3 linked regions of the Macaca mulatta genome follow. The protein of the gene in region 2 binds, or shares a complex with, the protein of the main gene of each other region. Links are inferred from orthologs where the notes say so. Each region holds a gene or a part of one and is shown on either strand. Other genes may lie near its edges. The genes, in order: ELAVL4, IGF2BP1 and G3BP1.

What was found.
Region 1: IGF2BP1 (region 2) and ELAVL4 share a complex: the UniProt entries of both Homo sapiens proteins name them as parts of the TAU mRNP complex. The link is inferred for Macaca mulatta from reciprocal best matches to the Homo sapiens genes IGF2BP1 and ELAVL4.
Region 3: IGF2BP1 (region 2) and G3BP1 share a complex: the UniProt entries of both Homo sapiens proteins name them as parts of the TAU mRNP complex. The link is inferred for Macaca mulatta from reciprocal best matches to the Homo sapiens genes IGF2BP1 and G3BP1.

Annotation. Positions count from the first base shown.
Region 1 is NC_133406.1:190,463,027-190,465,687, reverse strand, and holds the end of ELAVL4 (ELAV-like protein 4), read left to right. Parts: intron 1-1,035; coding exon of another isoform or gene 1,036-1,077; coding exon 1,078-1,405; 3' UTR 1,406-2,104; downstream 2,105-2,661. UniProt on the Homo sapiens protein: RNA-binding protein that is involved in the post-transcriptional regulation of mRNAs. Plays a role in the regulation of mRNA stability, alternative splicing and translation.
Region 2 is NC_133421.1:61,007,750-61,012,136, forward strand, and holds the start of IGF2BP1 (insulin-like growth factor 2 mRNA-binding protein 1), read right to left. Parts: upstream 2,941-4,387; 5' UTR 2,575-2,940; coding exon 2,400-2,574; intron 1,207-2,399; coding exon 1,146-1,206; intron 1-1,145. UniProt on the Homo sapiens protein: RNA-binding factor that recruits target transcripts to cytoplasmic protein-RNA complexes (mRNPs). This transcript 'caging' into mRNPs allows mRNA transport and transient storage.
Region 3 is NC_133411.1:160,738,421-160,742,071, reverse strand, and holds part of G3BP1 (ras GTPase-activating protein-binding protein 1), read right to left. Parts: intron 3,074-3,651; coding exon 2,872-3,073; intron 1,127-2,871; coding exon 1,025-1,126; intron 443-1,024; coding exon 331-442; intron 114-330; coding exon 1-113. UniProt on the Homo sapiens protein: Protein involved in various processes, such as stress granule formation and innate immunity. Plays an essential role in stress granule formation.

The sequences.
Region 1 (2,661 bases), on a different chromosome or scaffold from region 2:
ATATAAGCTTTGATGTGAAACAAGACATTAACAAATATTGTTCTGCTGTAGGCACTGGTAACCTAGTTGTTTCATCTGGTGCATCCATCACAAATCACACAAGGATTTATTTCATCAGACAGTGAATCGAATTTAAAGGGTCATTTTTTTCTTTTCAGGATTACACAAAAACTGAGAAGATTTCTAAGCCTAATACAAAAGCAGTTGTAATAGGGCAAATAACAATTTTATGTTTTTCTAATGTACAGCGATTCAAGATATATAAATGCACAAACCACTTGAAGTCTTGCTCCAATGATGCTTAGGAATAAATTCCAGATAACATAGCATAAAGGAGTAATACATCTTTATTATTATTGCTTGAGTTTGTAGGGGAAACCCTTTTGGATAAATGCTAAATGAAACATGAACCACCCATCTGTTTAATAGCAAGACATGCCTGTTCATTGTCAAGTATCTCCATCCTCACCAAGAAACCTTTGACAACCATAGGTCAAGGGAATGCAAAAATGGTAGACTTAAGCACTTTAGGGCCATCTCCTAATCTGCCTTTAAAAAAAAAAATGAAATTTCCCAAGCACTGGCCAAAGTTAGTCACTTATTCAACCAATAAATATTTATTGAGCATTTTCTATGTGTCACTGTATCTGTGAGATTCCCATATGTGCTCCACTGCATAAACAAATAGGGCCACAGAATGAATGAAATAGACCCTTTCCCCCAAGAGCACATTGTCTATTGTTGGGGTGGGGTGGAGTCAGGGTGGGGTGCGCTCTGAGCATCTACTGTGATAGAACTATTATAGAGCCTTGCTCTGGGAGCCCTGGGAGTCCCTCATGGTTTTTAGAAATGGACCTAGATCTTTCTCTCAGCATGAACATACCCTAGCCAGTCAAGCCATTCCCATCAGAGGAAATGACATAGACATTAGTTTTTACATTTTGGTTTTTGAACCCTGAAGACTCTCCTGCAAACACTCACTCAGCCCTCTGCCCCGTGTCTGTGTCTGTGCATCTGTGTGTTATCCTTGGTCAGACTGATGTCTGGACCAGTCCCCCCTTCTGCTTGTCCCCCCAGGTTCTCCCCAATTACCATTGATGGAATGACAAGCCTTGTGGGAATGAACATCCCTGGTCACACAGGAACTGGGTGGTGCATCTTTGTCTACAACCTGTCCCCTGATTCCGATGAGAGTGTCCTCTGGCAGCTCTTTGGCCCCTTTGGAGCAGTGAACAACGTCAAGGTGATCCGTGACTTCAACACCAACAAGTGCAAGGGATTTGGCTTTGTCACCATGACCAACTATGATGAGGCGGCCATGGCCATCGCCAGCCTCAACGGGTACCGCCTGGGAGACAGAGTGTTGCAAGTTTCCTTTAAAACCAACAAAGCCCACAAGTCCTGAATTTCCCATTCTTACTTACTAAAATATATATAGAAATATATACGAACAAAACACACGCGCGCACACACACACATACACAAAAGAGAGAGAAACAAACTTTTCAAGGCTTATATTCAACCATGGACTTTATAAGCCAGTGTTGCCTAAGTATTAAAACATTGGATTATCCTGAGGTGTACCAGGAAAGGATTTTATAATGCTTAGAAAAAAAGAAAAAAAAAAAACAAAAAAATACCTTTGATGCATTGAATGTTCTTTCATAGCTGTCGTTGTTGAATATAATATACATAGATAGCGATGTGCAGGGATTTTTACCCAGCCAGCTAACTTTACTACCTTCCTTGAAGGTGGATCTTTTTAAGATGACCATTCGCTCATTTGAAGAAGAAAAACAAAAAACAAAAAAAATAATAAAAATAAAACAATTTTTACAAAGTAATGGGATTCAAAGAAAGGAAAAAAAGATTTTTCTTTTTTGTCAAAATGTCGATCCAATCAGATTGGTAAAAACCCCCACACAAATTAAAGAGGAATAATAAAAATTGCAAAAATTAAAAAAAAAAAACTTTTGCAAATTTTTTTATTTTTCCTTTTTTCTTTTATATCATGTGAACTAAAACAGTCTTCTGTTAGGGGATGGGGGCAAGGGGGATACCTGATGACATTAACAATTTAATAACATTAACATTGTTGCCAAAGAGGTGGTCTCTTTGCTGAAAATGGGTTTCAAGAAAAATCTATTTTTATAAAATATAAAGAATTTTTACAAGAGAATCTGGATTTGAGAAAAAAATATTTTGACTGGCTAATTTAGGGGAAATTGACAACTTTGTCGCGTTCATACTGCACTGGTAACTTTTTAGAGATCAAGATGTGTGTTTTAAACTGGATTCGTAGACTGTTTTTTGAAGGATGGGCTATAAACAGATGATCTTCATATCTTTTCATAGCATGTAATAATAATTAAAAAACAATTATTAATTACTAGGGGAAAGGAGTGTTCGTTCTACCCAGGGTACCACAGTTCCCCACAGTCAAAACCCAAAAGCAAGGAGATGAGTTGAAAGACAGTTTTTCTTTAAGTCATCAGTATGGGATGTCAGCAGAACAAAAATTAAAAAGATTAATTTTCCTTTTGATCTAAAACTTCCTTAGTTTGAGCAGTAGGTGCTACGAAATTATTTACATATCTTAGTATCATAGTTAAATGTAATGTGTTTAGGAGAGGAAAACAAAAGATACATTTGCTTTAAATT
Region 2 (4,387 bases):
CTTAATCGTCCCCCCAAAAAAGCAGTCACTATCCCCCATCTACCCACCCGGAAAAGGCCAGAGACTATTCTGAATTGTACCAAGTTTTCAGTTGAAATGGGGGGTGAGGAGGATCAAAGATTTACTGGGAGCTGCTTTTCAACTTGGGACATGAGAGCAAACTCTACACTGTCAACATGTTTAAAGTCTGATTTGAGAAAAGTGGAAAGACTCTGCCCTTACACTTCCCAGCCAGAGTTCAAGGAAAGATTTCAGAGTTCAATGCAATATTTGAAATCCACCATGAATTCTCGGTAAGCATGATGGAGGTACCCCATTTTGCTGAAGAGAGAGAATAGAGAGAGGGTACTGGAACACACACACACACACACACACACACACACACACACACACCCCATTCAATTCATCCACGGAGTTCTAGACCCTCCAAAGAGCCCCAGCTCACAGCCTCAACACAAAGCTCTCACCCCAGATGGTCCCCTTGTAACAATGGGCTGAAGGAGTGGGGGTAGGGGGGCTCGAAAAGGATAGTACAGCCAAGGCATATTCTTTGGAAAATCCAGTTGGGGAGAAGGATGATGTGAAATATGAGGGATTGGGGGTGGGGGGGTCCATGGAAAATAAAGTCTTTGCCTGTTGCAGAAATATAAATAAAATACAAGCATAAGGGGATTCTTTGGGGGACGGGAAACTGATTCCACATCACTTAGGAGTAGAAGGGCAATCCACTTAAGAATTATGGTGTGGAAAGAGTGGGAAAAACAGAAAATGAGGCCTGCTACGAAGTTGCAGAAATCGCCCTGAGTCTGAACTCTTCGAAGATTTTAAGGTTCACCACAAAAAACGGCCCCACAAGTTGAACAAACTCCAAAAGGTTTCTCCCCTATTGATTTTCTTTCCCCTTTAATTCTACAAGCAACATCTTTTAGCCCACCCCAGCCCCAACTTATTTTTTTTTACAAGCTGTAAACCACCCATTACAAGATCTTGGCCAATCTTCCCTCCCTGCCCCCAACATCCGGAGTTGGGGGTGGGAAAGACCAGTAATGGGTTTCTTCCACTGGAGACGCTATGGACCCCTGAACACAGCTTCTCAGCACACCCCCGCGGCCCCCCCACCCCCCCAGAAAAGAGCTCTTTCCTACCTTTGTTTTTTGGGCACCGAATGTTCAATCTCTAGGCGTTTTCCTTGTAATTCTACTTTCCCTAAAGATTTAAAAAAAAAAAAATTACCATGAGAGCGTGAACAGGGGTTGGGGGTGGGAAGAGGAAGGGGAAAGACACTAGGCTAATTCAGGAGTTACTGGGATTCGAGATCTTCCTAGGAATCCAGGCAGTGGCTTCTGCAGCCAGATGGGAAAAAGGTTGCTCTAGGAATGGTGGAGTCTATAAATTCGTTATTATTCATTTTTTAATTTTTGCTTTATTTAATCACTGAGGCTCGTTGAGTGGATCGCTCTGGAATCCCGATTTGGGAAAGGTGCGAGGCCATTTGTGTGGTTGCGCTGCCTACATTGCTCCCAGATGTGGGGAGAAGGAGCTAGGAGAGAAAGGGCTCCCCGTTCCTCAGAAAGTGGGGCGCGGGGCGGGAGGCGGTGTACAGAACGAAACTTTATTTTTCTCTGTTGGCCAGGAAGAAGGGCTTGGAGCCGCGGAGCGGTCACCTGTCGGGACTGGTTTGGGAAGAGGTGGACCTGGGGGAGCGGAGCGGGGCCCGGCGGGGAGGGTGCCTGGCTGCCGCCGCGCGCGCCTCTCGGCCCAGCCTCGGCGTCTCGGGAAGCAGCATGGCGACCCGGCGCCGCCGCCGCCGCGCCACTCCGCTCACGCCCCACTTTCAAATCAAAATGGCTCAAGCCCCAGGCCCTAGGCAGGAGGCAGGACCCCCTTCCTTGCAAGTCCTGCTAGAGGGCTGCATTCCCCACGCTAAACGGAGAGATCGCAAGCGGTCCGGGGGACCCCTTCCACGCCTGGAAAGGCCTAAGACTGAGGAAGGAGAGCCAGGGTTTTCCAGCTGGGGGGCCGTCCACCGGCGGACAGGGAGGGGCTGGACGTGGAAATAACGCCCAGCCGGGGGTCATCTCCGTGTCCCTAAATCCACCCCCCCACTACTGCCAGTGGGGGCTCCCGCCCCGTCGGTGGGGAGGAGGGATGGGGGAAGCCAGAGCTGCTTATCTCGGGCTGGGAGGAAGGGATGAGGAAATCCCGAATGTTTCTGCGCGGGGGTGGGGGGCGCAGAGCGAGGGAGGGGGCATCGAAGGGGGTAGGTCGAGGTTGGGTACAGAGGCCAAGCCCCGCAGGCCCGGGAAGAGAGGAGTTGGCGGGAGAGGAACCGGAAGGTGCGGGTCTCCGTTGTTCGGGGCTTTCGTTGTGGCTTTTCCGGGAGGTGGCTGTGCTCTTACCGGAGAAAGTTTCGATGGCCTTCATCGCCCAGTGCTCGTCTGGGCAGTCCACGAAGGCGTAGCCGGATTTGACCAAGAACTGGCCGCTGTAGGAGATCTTGTGCTCCGCAAACACTTTCTCCAAGTCCGCGGGGGTCACGCTCTCGTTGAGGTTGCCGATGTAAAGCTTGTTCATGGTGGCGGTCTCGGGGCAGGACGCGGTCCCGGGCAAGGCCAAACGAGTGGACGCGGGCGGCAAGCCTCTTAGGCCGAGAGGCGGGGAGGCCGGCGGCAGGAGCCGCAAACTTTCTTTGCACCCCACCCCAGAAGTTGTCCCGAGCCCAGGGCGGGGAAGGCGGCCTGAGGGCGCGCAGAGGTCGCGGGAGAGTTCGGGGAGAGCCCGGGAGAAGTGCCCGCGGCGCGCAGGGAGACGGACGACGCGGCGCAGCTCCTTCCCTTCGGTCCGAAACCCCTCCGAGAGGGCTGGTGTGTCACGTTTCTCCGCGGCCGCCCTGGCGCCGCCTCTAAATAAAATCGACTTGAAAAAAAATGGAGCGGAAAAAAAAAAAAAAAAAAGGAGAAGCCACGTGGTGACAGCCCCCACCCACCCTGCAGGGGAAGACCCCCGACGCCACAGGGCCCCTCGGCCCTCCGGCCAAACCCAGCAATCTCCCGCCTGAGGGTGGAGAACTTAACTCACCCCCGTGGTAAACTGGGGCGGTGGGGCAGCGTCCCTGAAGCTCTATGGCCCCTTCCCCCTTTGCAAGAACCTGGCCCCTAGGGAAGCGCCCCGCCCCCACCCATCCCCCTACCCCAGCCCGAACTGGGGGAGGATGGTCCAGCCCAGATCTCCCAGGTCTTAAAGGGTAAAATGTACGGTTATTTTTTATTCGTTTTGGGGGGCGGGGTTGCTCACCCCACCCCGGTTAACTGCTAGCGACTGACAGGCGGGGGACGGCCGAGATAGACAAAGAGAAGCCGAAGACTCTGGGGTCTTCAGGAGAGGGTCGCACGAGCTGGTGATTTAAAAAGAAAGCCACCTTTTCCCTAGATGTTTAAATGGGGGGGTCTCTGCCTTCACCACCCCAGCCCCACTAAACTCCCCCGCCTCCGGGGATGCACGACCGGGGGACCCTGCGAGCGCGGGACTGGGAAGCTGGGAACACGGGGGATCCCAGTGGAGAACGAGGAAGCCGCGGGAAATCATGTTTTGAGATCCCCACGGGAGAAAGGGTGGTTCGCACCCGGGGTCCGGCTGTTAAATGATAACGTTACGGGGTCCTGGGGGGAACTCGCGGAACTGGCCGGAGATGACCCCAGGAGAGAGGGACAGTGGGACAGAAGGAAGAGGGGTGATAGCTAGGGCTAACCCGAGCGAACCGAAGGGGGAGGTCTTAGGGAGGGAGTGACCGGGTGGAGATTTGAATGGTCCCCTTTTCCCTCCGAGTCGGGGACAGACAGGTGGAGTTTCCAGCGCCCGCACCACCCAGGACACTGCTGGCAGCTCTCTGGGCCCTAGGTTCGGGTCTCGGAACTTTGTTTGGGGTGCAGGATTCCGAACCCGGCGGGAAGGCGGGAGAGGGACGGAGGGCGGGGGGCTAAGCGCGAAGCCCCGCCCACGTCCCCAGGTCAGACCCGCGGGGGGAGGGGGTAATTTCCGCTCGGCCCACTGGGAAGCGAGGGGCGGGAGCTTAGGGGAGGGGGCGGTGGCCCCTCCTCTCCCCCTCCCGCCGTTCCTGGGGAGGGGGAAGCGGATCCGCCCGGGTCCCTTCCCTCGGCTTTGACCAACTCATTCCGGATCCTCCAGCTCCGGGAGCCCGAGGGAAGGACCCGACTGGGCAAGGGGCGACACGTGGGCGGTCGCACCCCCGTCTGGGCGGTGGGGGAGGGGGCTGCTCGCCGCGCGTTTCGGAGTCCCGGATACGCGGCGGAGAGCGGGACGCGCGGTCCACTCGCAAGCCCTGGCTCCACGGCGGAGCGGCGAGCGAGAGCAACGAGTTTCTAGCGGC
Region 3 (3,651 bases), on a different chromosome or scaffold from region 2:
AAGCTCTGATTTGTCCACTTCATGAGGCAGGTTGCCAATGAAGAGTTGGTGACTGTCAGGGTGTCTCACCATTCTTCGGGGTTCAATGTCACCTTGCTCACCAGCCTCACGGACTTAAAAGGAGACAAAAACATCAATTAAAGGTAAGAGAAAGAAGACATCTTTCAGTGACTGCTCACATTCAATAGTTTTCCCTCTACCGTAAAAACAGGCAATTCCATCAACCCTACAATATTTTTATTTTAAAGTATATAAATATCAACTGCCCTCCCAAAATAAGCTCTCACCTCAAAATCCCCCAAACGAGAAATCGCCCTTCTGAGCTCTTACTTGGTCTGGGTCCCCTTTGGGGAGGAATATTTATTCGCTGTTCTCGCACTCTTTGATCCCTTTGAGGTCTCTGTGGTGGAATCTGAGATTCAGGCTTAGACTCTGGACGGGGCTGAAAAATTTTAAGTTAACTTTTGTGTTAAAACAAAGCAGGCTTATCCTTTTTCTTAATGAAGTTTCTTAGCTAACAAGTTTTAAACTAGAAAATGGACAATTCCCTAACAAGAAAAATCATTAAAAACCACCTTATACCCTTCTCTTCTGTCTTATATATCAGTTTTGTTTCTACATTGATTTGGGTTGTTTTTTTTTTTTTTTTTTTTGAGCCAGAGTCTCACTGTGTTGCCCATGATGCAGTCCAGTGGCACAATCATGACTCACTGCAGCCTCAACCTCCTGAACTCAAGCAATCCTCCCACCTCAGCTTCCTAATTAACTAGGACTACAAATGCATGCCACAAGGCCCGGCTAATTTCTTATTTTTTGTAGAGACAGGGTCTCACTATGTTGCCTGAATTGGTTTCAAACTGGTAGGCTCCAGTGATCAGCTGGCTTCAGCCTCCTAAAGTGCTGGGATTGCAGGCATGAGCCACACTGCACCTGACCAGTTTTCACACTCTCTAAACCTCTGTTGAATCAAATTACCAAAATATAAGTACACTTGCCTAATGTACAAGTTTTATTAAGACCTTACCTGTGAAGCTGGTACTTTAACAACATGAGGTGGTATCCCAGTAACTGGAACAGCTCCACTGGGTGGAAGGTTCTTACTGGTCACAGATGCCCAAGAAAACGTCTAAGGGAGCAATACCAACATTACATAATTATACCATGTATCAAAACAATATAAAAGCTACTAACTCTTGATTTCCTGTACAAAACAAATGGTAACACATTCTCACAGGCAGGATGGAGTTTATACATATATTAAGATTCTTCTCTTCCAGCTATTCAAAATTTAGTATTGAAATTCCTTGGGACTGATGATCAGGCAAATCTGAGAGGCTTAGGTTCAAGAAACTACTCACTTTTTTTTTTTTTTTGGAATGCAGTGGCATGTACACAGCTCGCGGCAGCCTCCATCTCCTGTGCTCAAGTGATCCTCCCACCTGTTTCCCAAGCAGCTGAAACTACAGGCATGTGCCACCATATCCAGCTATTTTTTCTTTTTAGCAGAGATGAAGTCTCACTGTATTGACCAGGCTGGTCTTTAACTCCTGAACTCAAGCAATCCTCCTGGCCTCTGCCTCCCAAAGTGCTGGGATTAAATGCGTGAGCCACAACGCCTGGCCCAAGGAAAGCTACTTTCATTCAAATTTGTGAATCAAACAAAATTCCCTCTCCTCCAAAATCAGCTCAGCTCTTCCTGCTGTCATTCAATCCAATCCATGGTACAAACATTGACTCAATTATATCAACTGTAGAATCATCATGAACACCTTTCTCACACATTTAAAAATTGTCACAACCTGTTATTCTACCTAATTATTTCTTTTCCATTTCCACTGCCACAACTCTAATTCAAACCATCATCCTCTCTTACTAGGTTTACTATAATAACCAACTAAGTGGTCATCTGGTCCAGTCAAACTACTTTCCCACTTGCTTCTTATTGTTTTGTTCTTGTGACAAGGTCTTACTCTGTCTCCCAAGCTGGAATGCAGTGACATAATCACAGCTCACTGCAGCCTTGACTTCCCAGGCTAAGCAATCCTCCTCCCTCAGCCTCCCAAGCAGCTGGGATCACACATAGGCATCACCATGACCAGCTAATTTTTTCCACTTGCAAGCTAAAGTCATTTCAACATTGCTCTTTCCTACTCACCTATTAGCTGCCAGAGAGCAAGAACCCCTATCTGTTTTGCCAATACCTACACTTTGAACAATGCCTAACACACAGCAGGAATTTGAATTAATTGTTGAACAAACAAATGACATAACCCTGAGCCTATCAATACAGCACTAAAAATTATATTCCTTCTCAGAGTGCCAAATGTAAAGGTTTCATGAGTTCAGTTAACAACACCCTAATAAGACTCAGGAGGACAAACTGAAAACTTCCGAAATCAGGTATGCCAACTAGCAAAGAAATCTTACTTCAGCAGTTCATTCCTACTTCCACTATAAAGTTATCTTCAAAAAAATTTCATAGAAAAAGTATATTCTGCCATGTTGTTTTCCTTAAAAAGATGTTATAAATTTGTAGTAACAAGCATGTAATAATTTATAGTGTAAAAGCTTGAATATTAAAAAGATAAGGAATCACTGACACGGTGCTACAGTGGCACCTAAACTTTCTAGTCTAACAGGCATTCAAGTTACCTAGGGGAAGGGAGTGGTTTTTTTTGATGAAATAAACTAATACACATCTTACCTCTCTCTTATCAAAGGCATGGCTCAATATCTAAGAAATTTCCCTGAAATGAACCACCAATATGAAAATGTATCTACAAAAGTCAACCGAACAGCAATACAGAACAGAGATTTCTCTTTTTTAAAAAATAACTAGAAATAGAATAAAAATGAAGACATGTTTCATACCCTCAAGTCTTCCTGTACTGTCTGAGCTATGTCTGCAGGTGCTGGAGAAGAACTCTTCTGAGTATCCTCAGGAGCAGTTTCTTCTAATACTGGCTCAGGCTTTTCCTCTTGGATTTCAGATACAGGTTCTTGTTCTGGTTCTGGTTCAGGATCAGGCTCTGGTTCAGCAACAGGCTCCTCTAAATGTTCTTCCATGTCATTACTTTGATGGAAAAATTTGAGAAATATCATTCTGCCACCATTTATTTCGCAAAAAATTCCCCATCATTTATTAACCAGAAACCAGAACATAGAGTTAGCTCCCTCTATTCAAAAAAAAAAAAAAAAAAAGCTAAGAATTGTATATCTGAGTTTTTAAAAAGTAATTTTTAAAATGCCACTCAATAACTTCACTGGAATCCATTTGGGCAAATTCTGATAAGCAAATGAATCAGGACATCAAAATGAACCAAACCACTTTATGGCTGGAATCCCACAATCATTACAATTCATTTAGCATACAACATCAGAAAAACTCTCAAAATAGGCTGGGGGAGGGGGAAAAGAAAGTTGCCATTCAATGGGTACAGTCTGTTTGTAAGGTATATGAAGTTATCTTCAATAAGATTTGTAAGGTGAAAAGTCCTAGAGATCTGTCATACAACCGTATCTATACAGTTAACACTACTATACTTTATATTTAAAAATGGTTAAGATAAAAAAAAAGGTTAAGATGGCAAATTTTATGATATGTGGCTTTTAACACAAACACACAAAAACTTTCAAATACGTAAAGAATTT